4 linked regions of the Arabidopsis thaliana genome follow. The protein of the gene in region 1 purifies or fractionates together with the protein of each later gene. This does not show direct contact. Each region holds a gene or a part of one and is shown on either strand. Other genes may lie near its edges. The genes, in order: AT2G37660, AT1G75290, AT1G75280 and AT1G75300.

Region 1 (4,272 bases):
GTGGCTCTTGCAAGGCTGGAAGGGAAGAACTGTCATGGCTCTTTCTGTTTGGAAACCAGAGTCCAAGGCTTGACCGAGAAATCCTCGTTGGCATATGAGAGACCATCTCTTGATTTTCTTCCTGTGTAATTCCCAGAGACAGAATTACAGGTACAACTCGGATTCATATTCACATAGCTTTATTAATACCATCAGAATTCTTTCTAGGCATTGTACTGAGACTGTGTTATCTCTTTTGCAGATGTAAGAAGAGAATGCTGCACAAAGAACTTGTTCAAAGATAATATTGATGTAAGTCCTGTTTTATAACTTTCTAGCTGTGTTTTTGTTGTTTCTCAGCTAGATTCTCCTAACGGTATTCTTGTAGCTAGGGTGATCAGATTGTTTGTATATTGCTAGCAGAGTTAGTTTGTCTAGATTGTAACACATATAAGAGGAAGCTTAGAGAAACTATGGTTTAAAGAGAAGTTTTTTCCTTCTCCAATGTACACACGAGAACCAATGTTGCATTGAAATAAGATGTTTTACTATTTCTGGAAAACTCTTCTGCTTGGAACTTGAGCTCCTAGTTATTAGTTGTGGTCCCTCAATACTATTAGCGAGTTTTGATGATCTCTAAAGATATTTCAAAAGCTTTTGATGTTACTTAGAGATTCTAGGGCAAGACATCTTGAGAAATAGAAAGAGCCGGTTCAGACACATAAAGAACTCATCCCTCTCAGTGTCAATTCTAGGACTTTGCTACAATGACAAAGGGAACAAAAAAATACTTAATCAGAACTTAGTGGTTACTTGAGTGAAAAGCGCCTTGAAATCCTTTGTTGGGGTGCCTGTTCCCTCGGGCTTTGAGGCCAGGTCAAGAGCTTTGAATTTTGCCTCCTCAAGCTGCAATGCCTGCTCAAATAATAAACACCATGGATTAGGAGAAGCAAAACTGGTTTAAAAGATATGGTAACTGTTGATGGATTATGCAGTTTACGAAGCCCTTTTGGTCATAATGAACACACACCTGAACACAGACTTCTGCAACATCAGCTCTTGCGATTGTTCTTGTTTCTGTCTCAAGTAGCTCGTCATCTTTTCCCACAAGTAATTCTCGAATGCCACCGTCCTTGTCCTGCAGACCTCCAGCCCTGAATCCAAGAGCAATATTGCAAGATGAGAATATTCCGCCATTGCAATTTGTACCGGATGCAAGTAAACAATAAAAGTTACCTGATGATGGTGTATGGAATACCGGAATCAGCCAAGTATTGCTCAGCCTTTCTCTTCCAGACCTACAAATTGCATAAAGACTGTGAACATTTGCCGTGAAACTCATCTCTGTGTTCAAGAAAACAGAGAAAGAGTAGTCTCACCAGAATGTTAGCATTGCCAATACTATTGAGAGGGTGATTAATGTTTGTTCCTCCCATCGACCCAACCAAAACAATCTGCTTAACTCCTGCAGCCTTAGCTGTTACAACAAACGACAATCCATCATCATCAACACCTCCGCTAAACACACATACAACAGAGATGATGAATACAAACCAGCGTCTATCTGATTCTTCTGACCAATCCAGTCAACCTACAAACAAAATCATGAATTCAAAAACCAAGAAGAAATGAAGAAATCCACAAGAACACACTACACTAAGATCAATGTAGTCACCTGTTCTGGATAAGCTCCATCATCAAAGAAGAACTCAGGTCTTCCTCCTTTACTAGGATCAAAACCGGGCTTCATCTGCGGAACAGCGCTAGTAAGAATGACCAAAGCATCAATCCCTTCAACAGCAGGAGCAATTGATGCAGTATCTCTAATATCTCCAATGAATACTTCATCCTCTCCATTGATCTTCTCCTTACTCTCCTTTGTCCTCACTAAACCCCTTGCCACGAACTGCTCCGACCTCTCCTTCAATTTCTTATACACAATTTGTCCTGTCACAGTCACCATCAATATTGAACAGTGTTCTTATGGAATTTCACAATACCACATTGTAGAGATAAAGAGAGAGAACCTGTTCTTCCACCGGCACCGGTAACGAGGACGGTGAGAGGTTCAGTTGTTGCGGCGGCGGAAACGGTAACCGATACTCTTCTGTTTTTTCCGGTGAACTTACTTGGACCACAAATCGACGTAGAATCTGACACAAGTGAGCGAAATTGGAGAGACGACGAACGAGGAACTGAGACAAAGGAAGAAGCTACAGCTCCGGATTTGTAAGTGTTAGCAGGAAGTAGTGGATGGAAGAATGTTGTCGTCGTCGTCGTCATCATCGCCATTGACTGGAGTTTGATAGCTCAGACGAAGAAGACGAGAGAGTGAGAAATATCGCAAAATTTCCGATTTTCGCCACGTCACCTTATCTTTTGAATTATATTTGTCTTTTTGTTTCATTCTAATTACGCTTTAAACGGGCCTGATTTTAAAATGGGCCATGGCCTATCTCCCACGAATGATCGAAGAACATCTAATTAATTGAAGTAACATAGTTTTACTGTTTGATTTATATTTGGAGAACTACACAAATTTTTCTCTGTGTATACAACTCAATATTTTGAACGTCGAGAGAGGTTTCTCAACACTATAAGACGGTTGTTTCTGTATAAGAAGGTTTCTTTACGTACTCTACAAGCAACAAAGATACAAATCAAGAAAAATAAAACACCGGTTCCTTCCTTTTTAAAATCAAAACAGAGTAGTTTGGCGACCGATTCTTCTCGGTAAACCAAAGTTTTGATAAGATCGGATCTCACCATGAACTGTAGCCGTCACAATCACCATCCCCCAAGCCGTTGGCTGTATAGTTTGCGGACCATGCCCTCCACTGTCGAACCATGACCAAGAAGATAACCTTGACGATGTGTTTATCGATGGAGATTCCCCAAACCTCGATGAATGCTGCTCCGAAGAGTTCATACTCGACCGAAACGACTCACTGCTTCCCAGCTCCGGTCCTGCCTCTTCCTCTGGTTGAATCTGACTCTTTGTAGCGGCTTTCTTAGGCATTGGAGGTAACCCTGATTTTTTATTCCGGTTAGATGTAGTTGGTCCAGTCGCCGAGGTTTCTTCTTTTGTTGGTGAGCTTATGGTGGATGAAGGCTGGCTTGAAGTAGATATGCGCTTTGAGTGGCGTTTAGAGTGAATCTGAACTGGTGGTGGCTCACCTCTAACATGACCATGCCAAGGAACAGCGGCTGAGACATCTTTGCAATGAAAATGTTCGTGAGATTGTGTCGTGAGTGTTGATCTTGTTCGGTGAAAGTCATTCTTCCATAAGTAAACTTGAGAGTCTTCACTCGCACATATTATGTATTTCCCATCTTGGCTATACGAAGCAGAGAGTTGGCTACATGTGTTTCTAAAGCCTGTCAACAAAAAGTATCAGTTTTTGTTTTTGTTCATCTTGGCTCTAGTGCTTGTAGAGAATTTACCTTTGAATTTGTGAATAACTTCAGAACCGTCTAGTATTCGAATCCGTGAATCAGCGGATGTGACAAGAACTTCAGATGGATTCACCGGGGAAAACTATATAATGGCATCAACAACTTGTTAACATTTTAGTTTACTAAAGTCTTAAGAAGGATTTTGGCTTTTAAAGAAAGGAACCTGAAAACTAGTGATCTTCCTTTTCGCTTGTGATTTCTTGTTGCTCTGAACATCAATCTGATTAGTTTGGCTCAGCTTACAATCTGTTCTACAGAAGAAAAAAGCGCGTCGCAATGAAAAGAAGTATTCAACTGGTAAACATGATGTTTGATACAGAAAGAGCTTAGGAAGAACCTTCTGTATCGTAAGCACGACAAATTCCTTTATGTGACCCGATAAGTGCACCCTTCAACCGAAAAAACCAAAACTTCCATCATTATAAAAACACCATAATGGATGGATTTTGTAGACTACTCCAAGAAACAGAGCAAAAAACAGAGCAAAAAAACAGAGCAAATACCTGACCGTCTGGTGTGTAGCAAGCAGCAGTAACCATTTCATGAAGATCACTCCATTCCACAACATGTCGATCTTGTATGCTCCATATCCTTATTTTAGCGTCAAGTGAACCACTTAAGAAATAATTTTCATCCACTGGACTGAACTGAATACATGTCACTGTTGAATCAATGAGACAATATAGTCAAAAGTGCATGCAGAAAATTAATAGCTAGATGTGAAGATAGGATACAAAAGATTTGTCTTACCATAGTCATTATGGGCAAACAGTTTGAGACATGTTTTGGTTTCTATATCCCATAACCTGACTGTTTTGTCCATAGAAGATGAAAGAA
Region 2 (3,575 bases), on another chromosome or scaffold:
AGAGATGCTTCTCGGACAAGAGCGAATGTTGGGTTACCGGCTTTCGCGCTCCCTTCAACGATGAATTCTCCCATGTAACCAGTCCCTCCGATCACCAGAATCTTGCTTTTCTCCGTCGTCATGTTTCAAACGTGGTAATGACTAATGATTGTGTGTACTACTAAATTCAATAATGCTGTGGAATTTGAGTGGCGTTGGCAAGGCAATTTATGGACAGAATTTGTTGGTTGATTGACAACAATACCCTCACTCAACATCTCATGTGGTGCATAGATGTTGACTCCCATGATAAACATGTTATGCTCGTTAAATCCAAATTTTCTCATTTGACCATATGTAAAATTGTGAGATATTTTGTGGTTTTACACAGCTTTATAGACCGTAAAAATGGCTTAAAGATGGATGCATATAGAGATAAAGCACTGTGATTAGTCACACACATTGCAAGAATCATTTTTTATTGATACAAACATGAAAGCAGCTAGCGTTATGGTGGTAAATTAGGTGTTTAATGAAGTTCCTAAAGCGAAATAACTGAGATACTCATCAATACTCGTGTACTTGATATCAGGGTAAAGCTCAGAGGCTTCAAAACCGAATGAAGGCTCTATAGTGAAATTGGTCTGATCTCCTTTCACAAACACCGCGTGGTTTATCGACAGAAGAACGTTGAAGGGAACCGGAGACTCTGCAAAAAGAGAAAGATCTTCATATTCTAGAAAATGAAAAAACGGTAGTTATAAAGAATCGAAAGACCTCTTGGTGAATTGATTTTCTGAACCTTGGATGCTTTTAAAGATTTGTTCCTCTGACATGTAAATCTTCTCAACAGACTTGCCAATCTTTTTCTCCCACAAGGTGACTATTTCGTTCATCGATAAAGTGTTGTTAGGAGGATTAATGTAGAGGGTTTTATTCAGAGTCCTTGGATCATCCACCGCTTTGATAGTGTAAGCAGCAATATCTTCCTCCTTGTTGATCACAGCTATGAAATATTCGACTGTGTTAGATTCAATTGCATAAAAAGCACAGTAATGTTAATGATATGAAACTAACCTTTGACATTTCCATCTCCGAAAATTTTGACTTTATCTCTAGGAGGAGAAGTGAGACCTGGCTCCAGCTGAACCAATGTGGGCAAGTAGTAACCAGCAAAGTAATTGGTAACAAGGTAAGTGTATGGTATTCCTTCCGCTTCTATGTCTCTCCTTGTCTGTAGTTTCCTCCCAAAAGCCGATTTCGCAGGCTCAACCGCACTTGACTTGTCCACGTCCATCCCAAACTCAGACGGCAAGAATCTCTGCAAAACATGAAACTATGTACAAATTTGGTCTTATGCAATTCGATTTTTTATATGTTAAGGGTTTGTATCAAGATCTGACCTTGACGTTACCGGCTTCTTTAATAGCTGAAATGATCTTGGTTTGATCCAAGATTTGCATGCTCCCAACGGTTGATATAACCACATCGGCCTGTTTAATGGCCTTCACTAAGCTCTCATGATCGTTCAAATCCCCCTGACCAAGTTATCATATACATAACTAAGGTTATGGTTATTGAATTTGTATGAAACTTATTAACGAAAGGATCAAGCGTACGTGAAGTAATGTGACGCCAAAATCTTTGAAATTCTGGACGGTTTTGCCCTTGTTGGGATCGGAGAGCGAGGCTTCTCTAACGAGAGCCAGTGTGGAGTGTCCGGCTTTCACGCTCGCTTCTATAATGAGTTTTCCGATGTGACCAGTCCCTCCGATCACCAGAATCTTGCTTTTCTCTGACGCCATGTTTAGATTCGAAACGTGATAATTGAATGCTAAGTGAATGATTTTGGGAGCGAAGGAATAGCGCTTTACGGACCAAAACATTGGTCGGTTGATTTAAGATAGAACTACGATAATACCCTTACCTAACCTTTCTTTAATTACAAAATTGAGATTTATTTTTTGGTTCCCTTTTTATTTTCGCTGAATCTAGACAATGGACATGACCAAATTCAAATTCTATTACCAAACTCAAGGTTTGATATATATTTTTTCTGATTTGGATACAAAAATATTTGATTTAGGTATTATTAAAATTGATTTGAATAAAAACCTTAGGTACCTAACATATTGATAATCATGTATAGACTATAGGTATGAATTATATATTACTAATTCATATTTCTTGGGAAGCTCGGAAACAGAGGTAAAGCACTGTGATTACTGATTAGTCACACATACACACACACATTCACCATTACAAGAACCATTCTTTTATTGATACAGAACATGAAACTAGCGCGTCATGGTGGTAAATTACGTTTATAATGAAGTTCATCAAGCGAAATAACTGAGATACTCGTCAACACTTGTGTACTTGACATCAGGGTAAAGCTCAGAGGCTTCCACACCAAAGGAAGGCTCTATACTGATATTGGTATCTCCATTCACAAACACCGCGTGGTTTATCGACAGAACAACATTGATGGGAATCGGAGACTCTGCCAAAAGATAATCATTTAATTCAGAATGAGTAATTAATAAAGAATCTAAAAACCTCTTTGTGAATTGATTATCTAAACCTTGGATGCTTTTAAGTAGTTGTTCCTCTGGGAGGTGAGTCTTCTCAAGAGACTTGCCAATCTTTTTCTCCCACAAGGTGACTATTTCGTTCATCGATAAAGTGTTGTTAGAAGGCTTAATGTATAGGATTTTGTTCAGAGTCCTAGGATCATCCACCGCCTTGATCGTGTAAGCAGCAATATCTTCCTCTTTGTTGATCACAGCTGCGAAATATTCTACGGTGTTAGATTAAACTGTATAGGCCACGTTATAAGTGTTTGGATTCTTGAAACTACTAACCTTTGGCATTTCCATCGCCAAGAATGGTGACTTTGTCTCTAGGAGGAGAAGTGAGACCAGGCTCGAACTGAACCAATGTTGGCAAGTAGTAACCACCAAAGCAACCGGTAACAGCGTAAGTGTATGGTATTCCTTCCGCTTCGATGGTTCTCCTGATCTGTATCTTCCCTGCAAAAGCCGATTTAGCTGGCTCAACCGCACTCGTCCTATCCACATCCACCCCAAACTCAGACGGCAAGAATCTCTGCAAATAACATATCCAATATGAAACTATATATATGCAATTAGATCCCTCTAGAACTACTCTTTCATTAAAAAAAGAAAAAAAAAAAATCAAAACATTGGACTCTGTTTATATGTAATGGGGTTTGAATCAAGGTAATATGAAATACTGACCTTGACATTACCGGCTTCTTTGATGGCGGAAATGATCTTGGTTTGATCCAAGATTTGCATGCTCCCAACGGTAGATATCACCACATCAACCTGTTTAATAGCCTTCACTAAGCTCTCGTGATCATTCAAATCTCCCTGACCAAGTCATATAACTAAAAGTTATGGTTATGAAAAACTTATATGAATGAATGAAACAGAGTGTATAAAGTTAAAGCGTACGTGTAGTATTGTGACGCCGAGATCTTTGAAACTCTGGACGGTTTTGCCCTTGACAGGATCGGATAGAGTTGCTTCTCTAACGAGAGCGAATGTGGAGTGGCCAGCTTTGGCGCTCGC
Region 3 (4,495 bases), on another chromosome or scaffold:
CACTAAGCTCTCATGATCGTTCAAATCCCCCTGACCAAGTTATCATATACATAACTAAGGTTATGGTTATTGAATTTGTATGAAACTTATTAACGAAAGGATCAAGCGTACGTGAAGTAATGTGACGCCAAAATCTTTGAAATTCTGGACGGTTTTGCCCTTGTTGGGATCGGAGAGCGAGGCTTCTCTAACGAGAGCCAGTGTGGAGTGTCCGGCTTTCACGCTCGCTTCTATAATGAGTTTTCCGATGTGACCAGTCCCTCCGATCACCAGAATCTTGCTTTTCTCTGACGCCATGTTTAGATTCGAAACGTGATAATTGAATGCTAAGTGAATGATTTTGGGAGCGAAGGAATAGCGCTTTACGGACCAAAACATTGGTCGGTTGATTTAAGATAGAACTACGATAATACCCTTACCTAACCTTTCTTTAATTACAAAATTGAGATTTATTTTTTGGTTCCCTTTTTATTTTCGCTGAATCTAGACAATGGACATGACCAAATTCAAATTCTATTACCAAACTCAAGGTTTGATATATATTTTTTCTGATTTGGATACAAAAATATTTGATTTAGGTATTATTAAAATTGATTTGAATAAAAACCTTAGGTACCTAACATATTGATAATCATGTATAGACTATAGGTATGAATTATATATTACTAATTCATATTTCTTGGGAAGCTCGGAAACAGAGGTAAAGCACTGTGATTACTGATTAGTCACACATACACACACACATTCACCATTACAAGAACCATTCTTTTATTGATACAGAACATGAAACTAGCGCGTCATGGTGGTAAATTACGTTTATAATGAAGTTCATCAAGCGAAATAACTGAGATACTCGTCAACACTTGTGTACTTGACATCAGGGTAAAGCTCAGAGGCTTCCACACCAAAGGAAGGCTCTATACTGATATTGGTATCTCCATTCACAAACACCGCGTGGTTTATCGACAGAACAACATTGATGGGAATCGGAGACTCTGCCAAAAGATAATCATTTAATTCAGAATGAGTAATTAATAAAGAATCTAAAAACCTCTTTGTGAATTGATTATCTAAACCTTGGATGCTTTTAAGTAGTTGTTCCTCTGGGAGGTGAGTCTTCTCAAGAGACTTGCCAATCTTTTTCTCCCACAAGGTGACTATTTCGTTCATCGATAAAGTGTTGTTAGAAGGCTTAATGTATAGGATTTTGTTCAGAGTCCTAGGATCATCCACCGCCTTGATCGTGTAAGCAGCAATATCTTCCTCTTTGTTGATCACAGCTGCGAAATATTCTACGGTGTTAGATTAAACTGTATAGGCCACGTTATAAGTGTTTGGATTCTTGAAACTACTAACCTTTGGCATTTCCATCGCCAAGAATGGTGACTTTGTCTCTAGGAGGAGAAGTGAGACCAGGCTCGAACTGAACCAATGTTGGCAAGTAGTAACCACCAAAGCAACCGGTAACAGCGTAAGTGTATGGTATTCCTTCCGCTTCGATGGTTCTCCTGATCTGTATCTTCCCTGCAAAAGCCGATTTAGCTGGCTCAACCGCACTCGTCCTATCCACATCCACCCCAAACTCAGACGGCAAGAATCTCTGCAAATAACATATCCAATATGAAACTATATATATGCAATTAGATCCCTCTAGAACTACTCTTTCATTAAAAAAAGAAAAAAAAAAAATCAAAACATTGGACTCTGTTTATATGTAATGGGGTTTGAATCAAGGTAATATGAAATACTGACCTTGACATTACCGGCTTCTTTGATGGCGGAAATGATCTTGGTTTGATCCAAGATTTGCATGCTCCCAACGGTAGATATCACCACATCAACCTGTTTAATAGCCTTCACTAAGCTCTCGTGATCATTCAAATCTCCCTGACCAAGTCATATAACTAAAAGTTATGGTTATGAAAAACTTATATGAATGAATGAAACAGAGTGTATAAAGTTAAAGCGTACGTGTAGTATTGTGACGCCGAGATCTTTGAAACTCTGGACGGTTTTGCCCTTGACAGGATCGGATAGAGTTGCTTCTCTAACGAGAGCGAATGTGGAGTGGCCAGCTTTGGCGCTCGCTTCTACTAGGAATTTCCCGATGTAACCAGTTCCTCCGATCACCAGAATCTTGCTTTTCTCCGTCGCCATGTTTAGTTTCAAACGATGATAATGAGTGCGCACTCTTTGAGTGGTAAGAAAATGATTTGGAATGTGCTTGAAGGAATGGTTTGGGCACCGCAATTTATGGACCAGACATTGTTTGGTTGATTTACGATAATACCCTTACTGAACCTTACTTCAATTCTAAGATATTCATTTCTTGTTCGTGCCTCCCCATCAAAATTCTTATTAAAATCCTAATTAGCTAAAATAATCACTGGTTAACCGGAAGGTTAAAACCTTATAACTATGATCGTAACCATTATTTAAATAAACTTAATCGATTGACCCCAGGTCCCCAACCCTTAGCCCCCAACAGGATCGTTAGTGAGCTTAAGGGGGTTTGGTCATACGCAAACTAAACTGGTACATAGCAAACCGAAGCCTTAAACCAGAAGAGAGAAAGGAATTAGTAGACTGGTTTATAGTGTACTTATATATGGAATCTGGACACAATATAGATCAAATTCATTGACAAATACATTCTAACATCAATTTTGGTTTGTATTGGTAACACTTGGACAATGATTTGACCATTTGATTGGTGCAAAAAAAAGAAGGAGACTAACCAATTGGAGAAGGTTCGAATATATCGTAACAGCCACTTCATCAATGACGTCACAAATTTCATGAACATATTTAAAGACCAAAGATTTCGTTTTCCTTGTATTTTATTTGAAAGACATTTTTGCCTATTTCATTCATATTTTGCTTTTAAAACGAGAATTATAATTCTTCGACTCCGTGGGATAAGTTTTCTAAAAAATCGAAGAAAGATCGATGGCTCTAGATATCTGCGTGAAGGTTGCCGTCGGTGCTCCTGATGTTCTCGGCGACTGTATGTTCTCTCTCTCTATCCTTTCTCCAATCATCGATCTCCGTTTTGTTTGTCCACATCAAGCTTTGATTTCTTAAATTAGGGTTTTTGATCTGTGATCTATTCAAATGCGTGTGCTTTATTCTATGAAATCTCGATTTCTTTTTCTCAGGTCCGTTTAGCCAACGTGTTCTTCTGACACTTGAGGAGAAGAAGCTTCCCTACAAGACCCATCTGATTAACGTCTCCGACAAACCCCAATGGTACGTTCTGTGATACCAATGATTACTGATGGAGATTTGATTAGCTTAATAAGTAATCCCCAAATCGAAAGCTGTATAATTTGGATGAAAAGTTACAACTTTTATTGTGTTTTGGACACTAAAAGATTCTGTATCTTCTGTAAATTTGTGGGCTTTTGATAGATTTCTCTGAAATTTTTGTGTTTTATAGGTTCTTAGACATTAGTCCAGAGGGGAAAGTTCCGGTGGTGAAGCTTGATGGCAAATGGGTGGCTGATTCTGACGTAATTGTTGGACTTCTTGAAGAGAAATATCCAGAGCCTTCTCTCAAGACTCCTCCTGAATTTGCTTCTGTAGGATCCAAAATCTTTGGTGCTTTTGTGACTTTCTTGAAGAGCAAAGACGCTAATGACGGATCCGAGAAGGCTTTGGTTGATGAGTTAGAAGCGTTGGAGAATCACTTGAAGACACATTCTGGTCCTTTTGTAGCTGGAGAGAAGATTACTGCAGTGGATTTGAGTTTAGCACCAAAGCTTTACCATCTTGAGGTTGCTCTTGGTCATTACAAGAACTGGTCTGTCCCTGAGAGCTTGACCAGTGTTCGTAACTACGCCAAGGCTTTGTTCTCTAGGGAGTCGTTTGAGAACACCAAGGCTAAGAAAGAGATTGTGGTTGCGGGTTGGGAATCGAAGGTGAATGCGTGATGTGGATCCATGCTTCTCTAGTTAATGTTGCTTTAGAACTATTCTTCACTGAATAATAAGAATGCACGAGTATGTGTGTGTTCTTGTTTTTGTTAGAGTTGGTTATCAATAATGATGCGATAAAGCAGCATATCTTTTTTTGATAATATACACCTCTTATTCAATTTGGTATTACAGTCCAATGGTCAATCTCTTGATTATTAGTAAATGCCTGCTACAAGATGATGATGCTATAGTTTCAGACAAACTGGCTGAGTTACTCATCGACGCTTGTGTACTTGATATCTGGATAAAGCTGAGAAGCTTCCACTTCAAAGTAAGGCTCTACTGTAAAATAGGTTTGATCTCCTTTCACAAAAATGGCATGATTTAAAGCCAACAGAAGATCAAGTGGATGTGGAGACTCTGCAACATTTCAAGTATTAGCAAACACCTGATCTTAATTGTTTATGTTTGGTAAAAAAGAGTGTCAAAATTATCTCTCTCACCTGGGATTTTCTTGAGAAGTTTCTCCTATGAAACGTAAGTCTTCTCCAGATTTTTACCAACCTTGCTCTCCCACA
Region 4 (3,868 bases), on another chromosome or scaffold:
GAAAGGTTAGGTAAGGGTATTATCGTAGTTCTATCTTAAATCAACCGACCAATGTTTTGGTCCGTAAAGCGCTATTCCTTCGCTCCCAAAATCATTCACTTAGCATTCAATTATCACGTTTCGAATCTAAACATGGCGTCAGAGAAAAGCAAGATTCTGGTGATCGGAGGGACTGGTCACATCGGAAAACTCATTATAGAAGCGAGCGTGAAAGCCGGACACTCCACACTGGCTCTCGTTAGAGAAGCCTCGCTCTCCGATCCCAACAAGGGCAAAACCGTCCAGAATTTCAAAGATTTTGGCGTCACATTACTTCACGTACGCTTGATCCTTTCGTTAATAAGTTTCATACAAATTCAATAACCATAACCTTAGTTATGTATATGATAACTTGGTCAGGGGGATTTGAACGATCATGAGAGCTTAGTGAAGGCCATTAAACAGGCCGATGTGGTTATATCAACCGTTGGGAGCATGCAAATCTTGGATCAAACCAAGATCATTTCAGCTATTAAAGAAGCCGGTAACGTCAAGGTCAGATCTTGATACAAACCCTTAACATATAAAAAATCGAATTGCATAAGACCAAATTTGTACATAGTTTCATGTTTTGCAGAGATTCTTGCCGTCTGAGTTTGGGATGGACGTGGACAAGTCAAGTGCGGTTGAGCCTGCGAAATCGGCTTTTGGGAGGAAACTACAGACAAGGAGAGACATAGAAGCGGAAGGAATACCATACACTTACCTTGTTACCAATTACTTTGCTGGTTACTACTTGCCCACATTGGTTCAGCTGGAGCCAGGTCTCACTTCTCCTCCTAGAGATAAAGTCAAAATTTTCGGAGATGGAAATGTCAAAGGTTAGTTTCATATCATTAACATTACTGTGCTTTTTATGCAATTGAATCTAACACAGTCGAATATTTCATAGCTGTGATCAACAAGGAGGAAGATATTGCTGCTTACACTATCAAAGCGGTGGATGATCCAAGGACTCTGAATAAAACCCTCTACATTAATCCTCCTAACAACACTTTATCGATGAACGAAATAGTCACCTTGTGGGAGAAAAAGATTGGCAAGTCTGTTGAGAAGATTTACATGTCAGAGGAACAAATCTTTAAAAGCATCCAAGGTTCAGAAAATCAATTCACCAAGAGGTCTTTCGATTCTTTATAACTACCGTTTTTTCATTTTCTAGAATATGAAGATCTTTCTCTTTTTGCAGAGTCTCCGGTTCCCTTCAACGTTCTTCTGTCGATAAACCACGCGGTGTTTGTGAAAGGAGATCAGACCAATTTCACTATAGAGCCTTCATTCGGTTTTGAAGCCTCTGAGCTTTACCCTGATATCAAGTACACGAGTATTGATGAGTATCTCAGTTATTTCGCTTTAGGAACTTCATTAAACACCTAATTTACCACCATAACGCTAGCTGCTTTCATGTTTGTATCAATAAAAAATGATTCTTGCAATGTGTGTGACTAATCACAGTGCTTTATCTCTATATGCATCCATCTTTAAGCCATTTTTACGGTCTATAAAGCTGTGTAAAACCACAAAATATCTCACAATTTTACATATGGTCAAATGAGAAAATTTGGATTTAACGAGCATAACATGTTTATCATGGGAGTCAACATCTATGCACCACATGAGATGTTGAGTGAGGGTATTGTTGTCAATCAACCAACAAATTCTGTCCATAAATTGCCTTGCCAACGCCACTCAAATTCCACAGCATTATTGAATTTAGTAGTACACACAATCATTAGTCATTACCACGTTTGAAACATGACGACGGAGAAAAGCAAGATTCTGGTGATCGGAGGGACTGGTTACATGGGAGAATTCATCGTTGAAGGGAGCGCGAAAGCCGGTAACCCAACATTCGCTCTTGTCCGAGAAGCATCTCTCTCTGATCCTGTCAAGAGCAAAACCATCCAGAGCTTCAAAGATCTCGGTGTCACAATACTACACGTATGCATGAACTCTCACTCTCTAACATGTTTCATACAAACTCAAAACCATAACCTAGTTATGTAACTTGGACAGGGAGATTTGAATGATCATGAGAGCTTAGTTAAGGCCATTAAACAGGTTGATGTGGTGATATCAACCATCGGGCACAAGCAAATCTTTGATCAAACCAAGATCATTTCCGCCATTAAAGAAGCTGGTAACGTCAAGGTTGGTATTTGATTCAAACCTCAATACATATAAATGGCAATCCGATTAGCATATGATCTAACTGAAAATAGTTATGAGAAAAAATCCAGCTGAACATAACCTCTTACTAGATTTATAGTTTTTGCTTTGCAGAGATTCTTGCCGGCTGAGTTTGGGATAGACGTTGAGAGGACCAGTGCGGTTGAGCCGGCAAAATCATTATTTGCAGGGAAGGTACAGATCAGGAGAGCCATTGAAGCTGAAGGAATACCATACACTTACGTTGTTAGCAATTGCTCTGCCGGTTTTTACTTGCGTACGTTACTTCAGTTCGAGTCTGGTCTCATTTCTCATACTAGAGACAAGGCCATCATCTTTGGCGACAAAAATGTTCCTCCTAGAGACAAAGTCACCATATTAGGCGATGGAAATGCCAAAGGTTGAGAATTTTATAATGTAACAGAACGTATAATCTATTTTTTTTTATAAAGATTCTTATGTAACAAGTTTTTTAAATTGATTTTGCAGTTGTGATCAACAAAGAGGAAGATGTTGCAGCTTACATGATCAAGGCGGTGGATGATCTAAGGACTCTGAACAAAACCCTCTACATTAGTCCTCCTAACAACATTTTATCGATGAACGAAATGGTCACCTTGTGGGAGAAAAAGATCGGCAAGTCTCTTGAGAAGACTCACATATCAGAAGAGCAAATCCTTAAAAGCATCCAAGGTTAGAAATTAATAACATACCACAATTCACCAAGAAGTCGTTTAAATTCTTTATTACCATTTTTTTTCATTTGCTGAATTAAAAGATATGTTCTTTTTGCGTACTCTCCAGTTCCCATCGATGTTTTCAAGTCTATAAACCACGCGGTGTTTGTGAAGGGAGATCAGACCAGTTTCACAATAGAGCCTTGGTTCGGTGAAGAAGCCTCTGTGCTTTACCCTGATGTCAAGTACACGAGTATTGATGAGTATCTCAGTCAATTCACTTGAGAACAATTCACAAAAACAAATCACAAAACAATAAAAACTGATTCTTGTACGTGTGAAATTGATTAATCAAGCAAAATGTAAAGTTTTGTGAACTCAAGCTAATATATTACACTAAAATTGAATACTTTTAATAGTATCTTGTGTCAATTACAAGATATAGGGAAAGGTCGAGACAGACGCACCTGGGTAGTGGGGCTTTTCGGCGAATCGATCGCCGGCGAGAGACGGAGAAACTGAGAAAGAGTGGCAGATGATGATAGCTCATCGTCCTAATACGACGCTGTTTCAGTCTTTCAACTCCTACAAAACCTTCTGCCTGATTCAGAGCTTTTCATTATGGGCTCTTGTTGGGCCTGAGACGATGTGTGATTCTTGTTAAAGAGAAAAAACAGCGAAGTAGGCGAAGCATGTGATTGGGTGTGATGTGAATATGCAATGCATATGGCTAAGAGATTCTCTCAGAATACTTTTAAGGAAAGCAACTGAAAACACTTTAGAGATTGGAAAAGCCATGACACATTAGGTTTTTCATGATACCATAACCTATCAAAAAGCATGAAACATCTTTAATTTAATATAAAAAAGGAACGAAAATAATGACGATGCATCATGCATGTATTGTAGTATCGTGGGGTCTATCTTTGTGCTTTGACTGACATAATTAGATTCTCGATCGTATGGCTTTGATTTACTTTTCT

Evidence for each region.
Region 2: the proteins of AT2G37660 (region 1) and AT1G75290 fractionate together in Arabidopsis thaliana (co-fractionation; one large-scale study listed by BioGRID). This does not show direct contact.
Region 3: the proteins of AT2G37660 (region 1) and AT1G75280 fractionate together in Arabidopsis thaliana (co-fractionation; one large-scale study listed by BioGRID). This does not show direct contact.
Region 4: the proteins of AT2G37660 (region 1) and AT1G75300 fractionate together in Arabidopsis thaliana (co-fractionation; one large-scale study listed by BioGRID). This does not show direct contact.

Annotation. Positions count from the first base shown.
Region 1 is NC_003071.7:15,794,707-15,798,978, forward strand, and holds AT2G37660 (NAD(P)-binding Rossmann-fold superfamily protein), read right to left. Parts: upstream 2,354-4,272; 5' UTR 2,272-2,353; coding exon 2,007-2,271; intron 1,927-2,006; coding exon 1,655-1,926; intron 1,571-1,654; coding exon 1,534-1,570; intron 1,457-1,533; coding exon 1,359-1,456; intron 1,278-1,358; coding exon 1,216-1,277; intron 1,134-1,215; coding exon 1,010-1,133; intron 895-1,009; coding exon 775-894; 3' UTR 507-774; downstream 1-506. Other genes in the region: AT2G37650 (GRAS family transcription factor), read left to right, coding at 1-73; AT2G37670 (Transducin/WD40 repeat-like superfamily protein), read right to left, coding at 2,678-3,357, 3,424-3,517, 3,599-3,681, 3,773-3,824, 3,939-4,096, 4,186-4,272.
Region 2 is NC_003070.9:28,252,099-28,255,673, reverse strand, and holds AT1G75290 (NAD(P)-binding Rossmann-fold superfamily protein), read right to left. Parts: upstream 1,953-3,575; 5' UTR 1,866-1,952; coding exon 1,599-1,865; intron 1,518-1,598; coding exon 1,383-1,517; intron 1,301-1,382; coding exon 1,057-1,300; intron 986-1,056; coding exon 782-985; exon of another isoform or gene 689-781; coding exon 501-688; downstream 1-500. Other genes in the region: AT1G75300 (NmrA-like negative transcriptional regulator family protein), read right to left, coding at 1-122; AT1G75280 (NmrA-like negative transcriptional regulator family protein), read right to left, coding at 2,319-2,482, 2,564-2,767, 2,844-3,087, 3,240-3,374, 3,459-3,575.
Region 3 is NC_003070.9:28,249,692-28,254,186, reverse strand, and holds AT1G75280 (NmrA-like negative transcriptional regulator family protein), read right to left. Parts: upstream 2,562-4,495; 5' UTR 2,158-2,561; coding exon 1,972-2,157; intron 1,888-1,971; coding exon 1,753-1,887; intron 1,601-1,752; coding exon 1,357-1,600; intron 1,281-1,356; coding exon 1,077-1,280; intron 996-1,076; coding exon 832-995; 3' UTR 501-831; downstream 1-500. Other genes in the region: AT1G75290 (NAD(P)-binding Rossmann-fold superfamily protein), read right to left, coding at 1-30, 112-378; DHAR2 (dehydroascorbate reductase 2), read left to right, coding at 2,950-3,007, 3,159-3,249, 3,440-3,932.
Region 4 is NC_003070.9:28,253,758-28,257,625, forward strand, and holds AT1G75300 (NmrA-like negative transcriptional regulator family protein), read left to right. Parts: upstream 1-1,737; 5' UTR 1,738-1,794; coding exon 1,795-1,980; exon of another isoform or gene 1,981-2,055; coding exon 2,056-2,190; exon of another isoform or gene 2,191-2,322; coding exon 2,323-2,608; intron 2,609-2,697; coding exon 2,698-2,901; exon of another isoform or gene 2,902-3,012; coding exon 3,013-3,170; 3' UTR 3,171-3,283; downstream 3,284-3,868. Other genes in the region: AT1G75290 (NAD(P)-binding Rossmann-fold superfamily protein), read left to right, coding at 52-318, 400-534, 617-860, 932-1,135, 1,229-1,416.